Arabidopsis thaliana: one gene and its partner. The protein of the gene in region 1 purifies or fractionates together with the protein of each later gene. This does not show direct contact. Each region holds a gene or a part of one and is shown in the gene's direction. Other genes may lie near its edges.

Region 1 (6,776 bases):
ATACACAGACACATAACATATAATATGTAACGAAATAAACGTCTTTGTAAGCTTACATGTACGCAGATTTCTGATATGGTTATGTATATGTTATAGGCGGGAAAGAGTGTATCGGATGCGGCAGCGGGAGGTGTTAACTTCGTGAAGGACAAGACCGGCCTGAACAAGTAGCGATTCGGGTCAAATTTGGGAGTTATAATTTCCCTTTTCTAATTAACTGTTGGGATTTTCAAATAAACGATCTTTGATCAAGAATTGCATTATATATATATAAATATATTGCAAAATTATTAGACGAGCCAAACTTATATTCAAATAATGTTTTATCTATTTTAAAAAATATTCTTTATGCGAAAGATCAAACTCCCCAAACGATGTTAAATGGATCACGATACATAAGTCGATCCGAATTGTTGAAGTTTTCTAAAAATGCAGTCCTTATAATTGTATTAAACACACTAAATCTTCCAAACACACAGAAGGAAATCACTATAATTGTTATAATGGATATAGGAGAACTAACTAAAAAAAAAAACGCAAAGAAAACTTTATACAGTACATACTCTTATGGTCTTACCAATTACCAACGATGTGTTGGTTACACAAGGTAAAATATATCGATCGTAGTACTGGATTCATATTATTCATAATATGATGGGAAAATGAAGAATAAAAGTACATTTTGTAAGTAGAATTCAACCATGAACTGTTTGGATTGGCAAACATTTTTTATTTGTTTTTGGCAAACATAAACTCAAATAAAATATCTAGGTATAATTGTGGTTCATACAAGAATTACTTCATACTGTTGGGCCAAAGGGTACGTATCCTTCCCCGCACCTCCAAACCATGGGCTTACTACTGATCGGACATCAAAACCTTGTTAGTTGCAACCAACGAATAATAAGTCAATACGATTCAACTTGTCAACAAATATACAACTTATATGACATGTCTGGCTCCAAACTGGATTTGAGTAGAAAGTTACTAATTCACAAAAACTAATTTATATACACATTTTCAATTTTTATTTTATAAATCAAAGAAAAAAAACATGAAAATACGGGAGGTTCGGCAAACACAACATTTAACTTGCCAAACGTAGCATCTAACTATCCCACCTTCTACAAGGCACCATTTTTTTTTCAATAATAAAGTTTTTTTTCTTTAATTTCTTCGCCAAGAAGAGCACGAAATGTTTGCCAAACGCATATGCAACAACCCCACGTTACATATTTCTATTTGTAGCTATAGAGCAAGCTATATTGTTAAAAACTAAAAAGAAAATCTTTACTATAACATATAGATAGAGGATTCGAGATATCTTGAAAGACTCAACTTAATAAATAAAGTCGAAAAGAAAACACGGAGGCGAGAGGACCACACACTCGCACAGAAAGAGTCTCATATCCTCTATAACAAATTGATAAACTAAACTAAAACGACACGTGATGTCTTGATCAGCCAATAAAAAGCTACCGACATAAGGCAAAAATGATCGTACCATTAAACGTAATCCACGTGGTTTCAGATTACACGTGGCACCACACAAGTATCTCCATTTGGCCTATAAATATAAACCCTTAAGCCCACATATCTTCTCAATCCATCACAAACAAAACACACATCAAAAACGATTTTACAAGAAAAAAATATCTGAAAAATGTCAGAGACCAACAAGAATGCCTTCCAAGCCGGTCAGGCCGCTGGCAAAGCTGAGGTACTCTTTCTCTCTTAGAACAGAGTACTGATAGATTGTTCAAGTTATAACTCTTTGAAAACAGTTGAAACTTGATCACTCCTAGAACTTCCATTTTCTTGTTTAATTTAGTTTGTCGTAATTATGTAATTGATTTTGTGTTGACCATGGTTGTTATATAGGAGAAGAGCAATGTTCTGCTGGACAAGGCCAAGGATGCTGCTGCTGCAGCTGGAGCTTCCGCGCAACAGGTAAACGATCTATACACACATTATGACATTTATGTAAAGAATGAAAAGTCTTCTTAGAGCATACATTTACGCAGATTTCTGATATTTTCATATGGTTTGATGTAAATGTTATAGGCGGGAAAGAGTATATCGGATGCGGCAGTGGGAGGTGTTAACTTCGTGAAGGACAAGACCGGCCTGAACAAGTAGCGATCCGAGTCAACTTTGGGAGTTATAATTTCCCTTTTCTAATTAATTGTTGGGATTTTCAAATAAAATTTGGGAGTCATAATTGATTCTCGTACTCATCGTACTTGTTGTTGTTTTTAGTGTTGTAATGTTTTAATGTTTCTTCTCCCTTTAGATGTACTACGTTTGGAACTTTAAGTTTAATCAACAAAATCTAGTTTAAGTTCTAAGAACTTTGTTTTACCATCCTCTTTTTTATTGCACTTAATGCTTATAGACTTTTATGTCCATCCATTTCTCAATTCGGCTACGTTGAATTATAAGGGTCACATAAGCAAAAAAATATCTTAAAAAGTCATAACATTAAGGCAAAGATAGATTCTTAAAAGTACTCAAATTGAGATCACGAAAATAACAAGTTAGAAGTTAGAACTTCCGTAGGATATTTATAAGAACAAAAGATTAATAAATGAAGGCAATGATTCTGGATTCCTTGCAAGTTAGGAAGTTCGAAATCGTTGTGGTCAATGGTCATGGTAAATACTGATCCAATTAAAACTATATGAGAAAAAACTGGTAGCTATAATAAAACTAGGGGCTAAACTCGAATTATCATATCATTAAGTTTTTATTTTTGTTTGCTCTGCGTCATTGTGATGGGACCTTCTCTTTGCCTTAGATGGTTTCGTTTACCTCAAAAAGTCAAAAATCAAAATCCTCACTAAAACCCTAACATTTCCCAGAGCTTCGCAATCGCTGTTCTTCAGTCTCGCTTCTTTGTAAACTGTAAAGGATCAAGCTTTTCTATTCAGATCAAATCCACTTCACTATACCCTTTTTTAGTTTCGTTAACCCAGCTCAAATCCGAGATGAGATATCAACAATGGCGATTGATGCTTCTTCGAAGCTACCATCGTTCTCATCTTCCTTATCTATCTCCTTGTTCTCAGGTAACCTCCATTTCATCGCGATCTTTCTCTTCTTTCATTCACCCTGGGATCGGAGCTTTGCAACAAAGTGAACAACTTTGTCCCTTACGATCCCCAATGACGAGCTCTGGCAACTTAGTGAAATCAGTGGGTCGAAGCTTCTCGTCCGAGCCTGCGGTTGAAGAGAAATCTTCTGCTGAGGCTACCGTGATTGATATTTTTAGTAGATTGAGTGGTGAGGATGAGATTAGGAAGGAGTTGGAATCGAGTGGTGTAGTGATTAGCCAAGATTTAGCTTTGAAGGTTTTGAGAAAGCTCGAATCAAACCCTGATGTTGCCAAAAGTTTTTTCCAGTGGATTAAGGAGGCTTCTCCTGAGGAACTTAGCTCGAAGAACTATAACATGATGCTGCGGATTCTGGGTGGTAATGGACTTGTTGATGAGTTTTGGGGGTTGGTTGATGTGATGAAGAAGAAAGGGCATGGTTTATCGGCTAATGTTAGAGATAAAGTGGGTGACAAATTTCAGAAAGATGGGCTGGAGAGTGATTTGCTGAGGCTGAGAAAGCTTTTTACTTCAGATTGTTTAGATAATTCGGCGGAGAATGTTTGCGATAGGGTGTGTAAGATTGTGATGAAGGAAGAATGGGGTGATGATGTAGAGAAACGGGTAAGAGATTTGAATGTTGAGTTTAAGAGTGATTTAGTGAAGATGATTGTGGAACGTCTTGATGTTGAACCCAGGAAAGCTTTGTTGTTCTTCCGGTGGATTGATGAGTCTGATCTCTTTAAGCATGATGAGAAAACCTATAATGCTATGGCTAGGGTTTTGGGAAAAGAGAAGTTTCTTGATAGATTTCAGAACATTGTAGTAGAAATGAGGAGTGCTGGTTATGAAGTGGAAATAGAGACTTATGTTAGAGTTTCAACGAGGTTCTGCCAGACTAAATTGATCAAGGAAGCTGTTGACTTGTTTGAGATTGCAATGGCAGGTAGTAGTAGTAGTAACAACCCCACCCCACACTGCTTCTGTTTGTTGCTCAAGAAAATTGTCACTGCCAAGATTCTAGATATGGATTTGTTTTCAAGAGCTGTGAAAGTTTATACCAAAAATGGTAATGCTTTGACGGATTCCTTGCTGAAATCTGTCTTAAAGTCCTTGAGAAGCGTGGATAGGGTTGAACAGAGCAATGAGCTGTTGAAAGAAATGAAGAGAGGAGGCTATGTTCCTAGTGGTGATATGCAGAGCATGATTGCATCAAGTCTTAGTCGTAAGGGAAAGAAGGACGAAGCTGATGAATTTGTAGACTTTATGGAATCATCCGGAAACAATCTAGATGACAAGGCAATGGCGTCTCTTGTTGAAGGGTATTGTGATTCCGGGAATCTTGATGAAGCTTTAGTGTGTTTCGAGAAAATGGTTGGAAACACGGGAGTCTCCTATGCTGATTATTCATTTGAGAAGTTGGTTCTTGCTTATTGCAACAAGAATCAAGTAAGAGATGCATACAAGCTTTTGAGTGCACAAGTAACGAAAAATCAACTGAAACCTCGTCATAGCACATACAAAAGCTTGGTGACGAATCTGTTGACGAAGAAGATTGCAAGGGATGGTGGGTTTGAAGAAGCTTTGAGTCTTCTACCGATAATGAAAGATCACGGGTTCCCTCCTTTCATTGACCCTTTCATGAGTTACTTCTCATCAACTGGAAAAAGCACTGAAGCTCTCGGTTTTTTGAAGGCTATGACCTCGAATAACTTTCCATATATATCAGTGGTTCTGCGTGTATTCGAAACTATGATGAAGTCTGCAAGACACAGTGAAGCACAAGATTTACTCTCTCTGTGCCCAAACTATATCCGTAATAATCCGGATGTTCTAGAACTCTTCAATACCATGAAACCCAACGAATCTGCTGTAGAAAAACCTTTGGCTGCTTCTGCTTAGCTCCAGTTTTAGTTTACATTCCTTCAAGTCTTTTTGGTTTCTGGGCATTTGATTCAAATAATTTGGCCAGAATATTTCCTGCTGTTCCCTTTTGTTTACATGTATCACTCACCAGTCACCAGTTAACTTTCTTCATCAACCTGGTGCACTGGCAAAATAATTTTAAGGTACTATGTTTTTTTATATTCCACTTGCTTATCATCTTATGCTTCTTGGCTCTGCCATGGATTGTTCCGTGTATCATCATTATTTGTTAACAAGATCTGTCTGTAACTCTGTTCTCTTTTTAACTTTTTCTCCGCACTAATGTATTGCCTATTGATCAGATACTAGTGCTTGACATTACCAAATATCAAATTGGAAGATCTTTGATGTTGAGAAAATCTGTTTATGAAAGTCCCATTGTTTAGTTTATAATTTGAGAAGTAAATGATGTGCCTTTTGTTGAAGAGAATCAACCAAGCCTATTGTAAACATGCATGGCTCATGGGCCTGAAAGATTAAGATACGAAAACTAGTCCAACATAGAGAGAGACTCAACTCTCAAGGATAGTTTTCCATAGTCTTTGTTCTTTTCTGATTATTGATAGAAAAACAGGACCACAAACCACGGTCCGTTTAGTAATTGCATCTTGCATTGTAGTGCTGATCTTTGTCGCGATCTATATCGATCTGTTTTGTGCAATCTTGATCTGTAATTCTTCTGTATGTGGATGTTTGAAATCTTGCACCGTTTTCATTCTCATTGTCAATAGCATCATCTCTGCAAAGTCTTTTGAAATTTTCTGAAGAGAGTGTGGAGAAAAAAGGACTGAACGAGGAGGAACAGATCGGTGAGAGAGCGACATAGCAACATAAAAAGACAACAAGCTTTGATTAATGTTCTTACAAGAAATGAGACAAAAGAGTGAAAGAGTGAAATAAAGAAAAGAGAGAGATGTGTCATCATTTCTCTATGATTAGTTGCTATTTAACAAAGGGGACCGTTTCAAACACTTGGATTCATCCGGCGGGTTTCTGGTTTTTGAAGCAATCCCATATGCTTCTTCTTTTTTTCTTAGGTCGGAATTTGGCAAAAGAGAAAAACAGGTTTAAAGGTTTCAACTTTCAAAACGAGGAGACAAAGTTTCAATCACTTTCCCGGCAAAAAAAGCTATAAAGAAAAAAGAGAGGATATCAATGGTGTAAGCACTAAGTAAGCACGCTTAGTTACCTGCTTGCTTGGGACCGATTTATGTGAATCTAATATTTACGCATGTTTCGAGTTTAAGATTTTGCTTCAATTCGTTACAAGGTCTATTTGAATGTTCTTAATATTTAACCCAACAAAAGATTTATATATATGAACTGAGCTATATATGAGTCATGAGTGATGATTCCTAAGATTCGTGTATAATTTTTAGCTTGAGAAAAAAAATTCAAATTGAATGAACTTAAGATATGGCTATCAGTATTTAGACATATAAATAGGTGGCTGTAACATTATATGGTTTCAATAAATTATTTGGATTTGTTAAAATGTTGCGACACTATTGGGTGATGGAAAATGAAAGGTTGATGTTTTGTTTATACCAAAAAAATAATTAAAATGAAATCCCATGATGCATGTTGTTGAATAGGAGTAGCAGTTGGTGTGTTGGGTGGTCAATCCATAAGCATTAAACTCATTATGTAACTATTTCAAAAGTAATATATATCATTAATGAGATGTTTAATTATAACACAAATGTCCCATAAAAACAGTGGTCATGAATTTGTCAACAATTTTTTAATATAGAAATT
Region 2 (5,965 bases), on another chromosome or scaffold:
TTTCGATATCGGGCGGAGAAGCAGTCTTGAGCCTTTGGTTGTTGATGTTGTTCTTGTGGTGAGGCCACTTGTTGGTGATCAGTCTGGTAAAAGGGAGCTTATCAGGAACTTCTCCGGGAAAGATTATCAGTCTGGTTGGAATTCTGATCAAGATGAATTGGGATGTGAGACTAAGAACGAGCAGATTATTGAGAGATGGGTGGTGCAATATGATAATAGGAAGATCAGGGAATCTGTTACTACTAGTAGCAGGAGGTCAAGCAGTAATAAGTTGCAAGTGATGTATAAGAAAGCTACTCTGCTGCTTAGATCATTGTTTGTCATGGTTAGGCTTTTACCTGCTTATAAGATTTTTCGGGAACTCAATTCCTCGGGGCAGATCTTCAAGTTCAAGCTTGTTCCTAGGGTCCCTTCTATAGTTGAGCCATTCACTCGTAAAGAAGAAGCAGAAATGCAGAAGTTTTCTTTCACACCGGTTGAAACGATCTGTGGTAGACTTTGCTTATCGGTTTTATATCGTTCTCTCTCAGATGTCAGTTGCGAACACTCTACACCTATGTCTCCAACATTTATAACCGATTATGTTGGAAGTCCCTTGGCTGATCCTTTAAAGAGGTTCCCTTCCCTTCCTCTTTCATATGGTTCTCCTCCATTGCTGCCATTTCAAAGGCGCCATAGCTGGAGTTTCGATCGTTACAAGGCATCTCCACCTTCTGTTTCTTGCTCACCATCGCCTACACGCTCGGATTCACATGCATTGGTTTCACATCCTTGCTCTCGTCATCTTCCTCCTCACCCTTCTGATATACCCACTGGTCGTAGGAAGGAAAGCTACCCCGAAGAGTATTCTCCTTGTCAAGATTTCTCCCCTCCTCCTTCTCCTTCAGCACCAAAACACGCCGTCCCAAGAGGCATCACACGTACTGAAAGTGCTCCAGTCAGAATACCAGCTCCAACTTTCCAGTCCAAAGAAAACGTTGTGGCACCTTCTGCTCATCTGAAGTTGTCGAGACACGCTTCGTTGAAGCCTGTGAGAAACTTGGGTCCTGGTGAATCTGGAGCAGCAATAGATAAGGTAAACGTACTCCACATGTCTTATCTTTTATCTGTTTTCTTGATCATGTGACTTAACGAGTTAAACTGATATTCATTATCCTTCTAGCTGTTTCTTTATGGGAGAGATGACTTTAGAAGACCTTCTGGGGTGAGGCCGTCTTCCAGCAGTTCTCCGCGGATATCATTTTCCCGGAGTTCCAGTAGATCTTTCCAAGACGATTTTGATGATCCTGATTTCCCTTGCCCATTTGATGTTGAGTATGATGATATTACAGATCGGAATAGCAGGTATGGTCTTAAAAACCTTACATATCTCATTTTCTCCTTTCCAATTTATCTACAGCCCAAGCATTTAATATTTTGATTGCTTTAGGTTGTCCTTCTAAGTGGATAGCTATTATATTTCAAAACCAATTGACTTTCTAAATAAGTGATTTACTAATCCTGGCCTCTTATGCTAATCAGTAGGGCTTAAGAAGCTAGTTCATGTTCTTTCTTTCTTTGAGATTTTACAGCCATAAGACCGAAATGGTTACTGTAATGCTTCTGTATCTGTGTAGCTTCGATCAATCTTGGGGTATTCTTGTACTGATCTTTTAAAAAGAAGAAAGAGAACTGTTTAGTAGAGAAACCAAGAAATCGTAACTCTTCTCTATCACTAATATCATGATATATTTGGGGATAATAAGTTAATCATATAATGACTTGAAATGGTTCGTCTCAAGGTTTCTGATTCAGTTCTTGAGACTTTGTTTTGTAACTGTTTCCAGTAGAAGAAACTGATTTTTGGTTTACTGCCTTATTTCAGACCAGGGTCGTTTGACCACAGAGGAGACATACATGAACCATTCGATTCAAGCGGGTCATACCCGAAGAAGTCCCAAGATGCTGCAGTTGGTGCCCTTGTGAGAATGCTGAAGAAAGCGCCACCTCTCAGACAAGATGTCTCTGAATCTTCCAGACCTGAAATTTGCTCGAACAACAACAAACCCGCAGGGGCTCATGAGATAGCAGTAGCGTCTATCACAGCCTCGGGGATTGCTCTGGCCTCAAAGACAACAGCTGATGCTTTGGAAGAGTTGAGGTCTTACAAAGAAATGAAGAATCATTTGTTGCTTGGTCAATCCACATCAAACCCTTCCTCGGTTACTATTACTTCACCCTTTGATGTTTGATGTTTCAGAATCTTGACCCATTTTGGGTTTCGGTTTGTTTTTTTTTTTTTTTTTTTTTCATATAATGTGTGCCTATGTAAATAATATTAAGCTCTCTACTCTTTGGATGATATTGGTCCATGTAAATAAACTTATACCCAGGAAAAAAAGAAAAAAAATTCCATGTAAATAAAATGGTAAACATATGTTAACTACTATTTATAATCATTACAAAGCTTTCATTTGTTGTCAACTAATATGAAAGCTTTCTACAATTTCTTATTTCATTTTCCAAATCAAATTTAAGAACTCTCAGACAAAAATAATATATATAGCAACACGATGTCGTTTTCACTAAAAAAAACTTAACAACACGTCGCCGTTTGGTAATGACCCAATCGGCGAAATCTGAGAAGACTAAAACCCTAAGGTAAACCTGAGAGAACAAGCCAGAGCTAATCTCTTGTCGGAAGGAAGAAGGATCAAAAATGCCGCTCTACGACTGTATGCTTCTGTTCAAGCCTATAATCAGGAAGGAGGGCCTCATCGACCTCGTTGCGCGCATTGGTAAACACGTTTACAGCAGAAATGGCGTCCTCACCGAGATCAAATCCTTTGGCAAGGTCGAATTGGGTTACGGTATTAGAAAGCTCGACGGAAGACACTATCAGGTATTCAATTTCGTTAGTTTTCTTACTGAATCGATGGTTTATGAGTCCGTAGAGTTTGTTTGATCAGGATTTTCTCCAGGCCGATTCAATGGTATTAGCATTTTAGTTTAGGTTTGTGTTAGCTTTGTCTTTTTCATCTTTCTGATCGATTCTTATGGTTAGATAGCTAGATTTTGGGAATTTATACAGTCATTTTACTCAAATGCTTGCTACGACCATGGACTGATACTTCTTTCGCCCAGATTACTTACGCTTAGTTTAACTTTCAGTTGGATTCTTGAAGCAAAATCATCATATTGTTACTAGTAAAGGTTGTTTTTGCGTGATTTTGTCTACCCGATTTATAAAATCCTGATGAGGATAACAGAACAGTAGGATTCTAGAATGGTTCCTATCTTAGTCAATTGTTCAAAGAGCTTGATTTTGCTTTGGATCTTCAGTGTGGAGTTTGATTATTAGTTTGATGCTATAACCGTAGATAGATAAGCAATCTTATTATTAGCATTATGTTTTAGGTTGGCCTTTCGAAAAAGCTTTGTGTCTTGTAACTTTCTGATTGATTCTTATGGTTAAATAGCTGGACTTGGGGGAAATTATGCGGTCTTGTACACAAATACTGGCTACGATCCTGAAGTGATACTTGTTTTGTGATTTCTTACTAGTCACAAACGTTGCGTTTAGTCTATGGTATTTTGTAGATTTTCATTTCCTCGACAGTGTTTCCTTTCGAACTTAAGATTCCAGAAAATCCTGATGAGGGTAATACAACAGCTAGGATTCTAGATAAGTTCTTATCTACTGAATTGTCCAAAGAATTTGATTGTGCTTTGGATCTTCAGTTTGAAATTTGATTACTTGTAAGATAACCTGGTACAAATAATCGCAGCTTTCGCTTATACATTTTCTTCAAACTGTTTCTGTTATTAGACAATTTGGCTATATAGGAACAGAAGGAGAATATATAATTCATACATACCTAGGAAGTAACGGGATACATTTGTTTCGATCAACTATAGATGTAGGATTATCATATGTTTTGAGAGTATCAGTACAAAAGCTTTAAACATCAATCTCCTATGTATTTTTGATAGAATCTGCAGAGAGTGAAAATTGAACATCCACTTTTATTAGCTTTCCTCTCTTACTAATCTGCAGAGTCATGCGTTTGCTAAGTGTTTTCTGCCTTCATATCGGGTGAATGTTTTGCAGGGACAATTGATGCAGATAACAATGATGACAACTCCAAACATGAACAAGGAGCTTCACTACCTGAACAAGGAAGACAAACTGCTGCGCTGGCTCTTAGTTAAACACCGTGACATCAAGATTGGACAGTCGGAAAAGGAAGATAGTCTGACTGTGCCTAACAGACTCACTAGTGGGAGCTTATATGATGGATCCTCCTCGGACGAAGATGACAACAACATTTTAGGGTTATCACGATGAGGAAATCAATTTCTTTGAAATGTTTACTCAGACAATTTCTTCATGGGAGTCCCCTTCAATGGTTATGAATGTTTTTGGTTACATGAAGTGGTGGTATGCGTTTTGCGTAGACAATGAAATAAATTAATTTTATGTAATAATAATTTTTAGGTAAATTGAACTAAATTTCATGTGTTTTATTGTTTTCGCTATTTTCCTAGTGGATATTCAACGTCATCAATTGGGTTGACAACCCCGAATTAAATGCCACGTGTATTGACACGTCATATTTGCATGGGGAGAGCGTTTCTCTGTTTTTAGGACTTGGAAAAATTATCATTTCTAAAAATTAATATTGGGAAAAAAGAAGGAAATTAAAATAGAGGTGGTGGTTCGTAAATGAGCTAAGAACAAACACTTGTTATAATTTCCCGTGTCGCTGCATCTTCTTCTTCATCCATCGATTTCTCTCAATTAGGGTTCTGATTTTTCTTCCCATTGTTGTTCTCCTTCTCCGTTTCGTCTCAATTACAGAACAAAGCTTCGTTTCTCCAGGTATAATCGAAACGTCAGAATCTTATTAATACAAATTTACGCGATTCTGTTGCCTTATACCGTTTTTTTTTTTGAGAGAGAAAATCTTTTAATCGTGTGTTTTCTATGTTCATATGAATGTATGCATTGATGTGAATGTATATGAATGTATACTCATGTATGCATTTTTTTTTTCTCCTCTCAAAATTATGAAATAGTTCATGTCAATTGTTTATACCTGTGTCGAATGTGGATATTTTGACAGAATATAATCTGAGAAGAAGAGTATTGGATTGTTTTTTATAAAAATTATGTCACGATCCTAAATTTTGACGAGCTTTACTTTAATTTTGTTTTTGTTCTGTTTTGTCTTTGTTGTTGATATGAGCTGGATAGTAATCGAAGGTTAAAAAGTTTCACAAAAAATTGGATTTAGAGTTGAATTAGCGTGTGAGTATCTTGTTGTCCTTGAAATTCTTTTTATTTCAAGGTGTTGCACCCAAAAGAATCTAAAGGGTTTCTATGATCGTTCTGTGTTTTTATGGATTTGTTTTCTGTTGTCAACTTTTGCAAGGTTTAAGAAAGAATGGAAGGTACAGATGATGCTTCTGCACTTCAAGAGCCTCCTGACCCCGAAGTGCTCGAAGTTGATCCAACTTTTCGATATATACGGGTATGAAGAGGCTCTTTGGAAATTGGAATGCTATCTTTTTTCTATTTGTTAAGTGTTTTACCATTCAATTGGTCGATACTATGAAACCAAGTTCCACCTCCCTTTGGCTTGTTTTACTTCTTAATGTTAAGGTTTGAGTAAATATTGTGAGGTGATTTAGATCTCTGATGTTCTTAACCAATCAATTGTGGACCTTTCAGTATAAAGAGGTCATTGGAAAAGGGGCATTCAAGACTGTGTATCCTTTTCGGTTTGTTTTCATATTTATTTCGGAGATTTAGAGTATTCTTGATATCAGAAGCTTCCTAGAAATGTACTCATATCATTTTAGTGATTTTGTTTTTCGAAACTCTTTTACGAGAATGAATTAATATCTTTCTCCTATATTCTGCATCTTTTTTGGTTTGTACCTTAACTCAAGGAAATCAGTTATAAGGCATTTGATGAAGTAG

Evidence for each region. The genes of interacting proteins can lie anywhere in the genome.
Region 2: the proteins of AT5G15980 (region 1) and AT3G18760 fractionate together in Arabidopsis thaliana (co-fractionation; one large-scale study listed by BioGRID). This does not show direct contact.

Annotation. Positions count from the first base shown.
Region 1 is NC_003076.8:5,210,303-5,217,078, forward strand, and holds AT5G15980 (Pentatricopeptide repeat (PPR) superfamily protein), read left to right. Parts: upstream 1-2,759; 5' UTR 2,760-2,987; coding exon 2,988-4,994; 3' UTR 4,995-5,372; downstream 5,373-6,776. Other genes in the region: KIN1 (stress-responsive protein (KIN1) / stress-induced protein (KIN1)), read left to right, coding at 97-171; KIN2 (stress-responsive protein (KIN2) / stress-induced protein (KIN2) / cold-responsive protein (COR6.6) / cold-regulated protein (COR6.6)), read left to right, coding at 1,664-1,720, 1,882-1,950, 2,065-2,139.
Region 2 is NC_003074.8:6,456,292-6,462,256, reverse strand, and holds AT3G18760 (Translation elongation factor EF1B/ribosomal protein S6 family protein), read left to right. Parts: upstream 1-2,531; 5' UTR 2,532-2,698; coding exon 2,699-2,881; intron 2,882-4,090; coding exon 4,091-4,327; 3' UTR 4,328-4,580; downstream 4,581-5,965. Other genes in the region: AT3G18770 (Autophagy-related protein 13), read left to right, coding at 1-1,075, 1,163-1,344, 1,865-2,231; WNK6 (with no lysine (K) kinase 6), read left to right, coding at 5,427-5,513, 5,714-5,751, 5,943-5,965.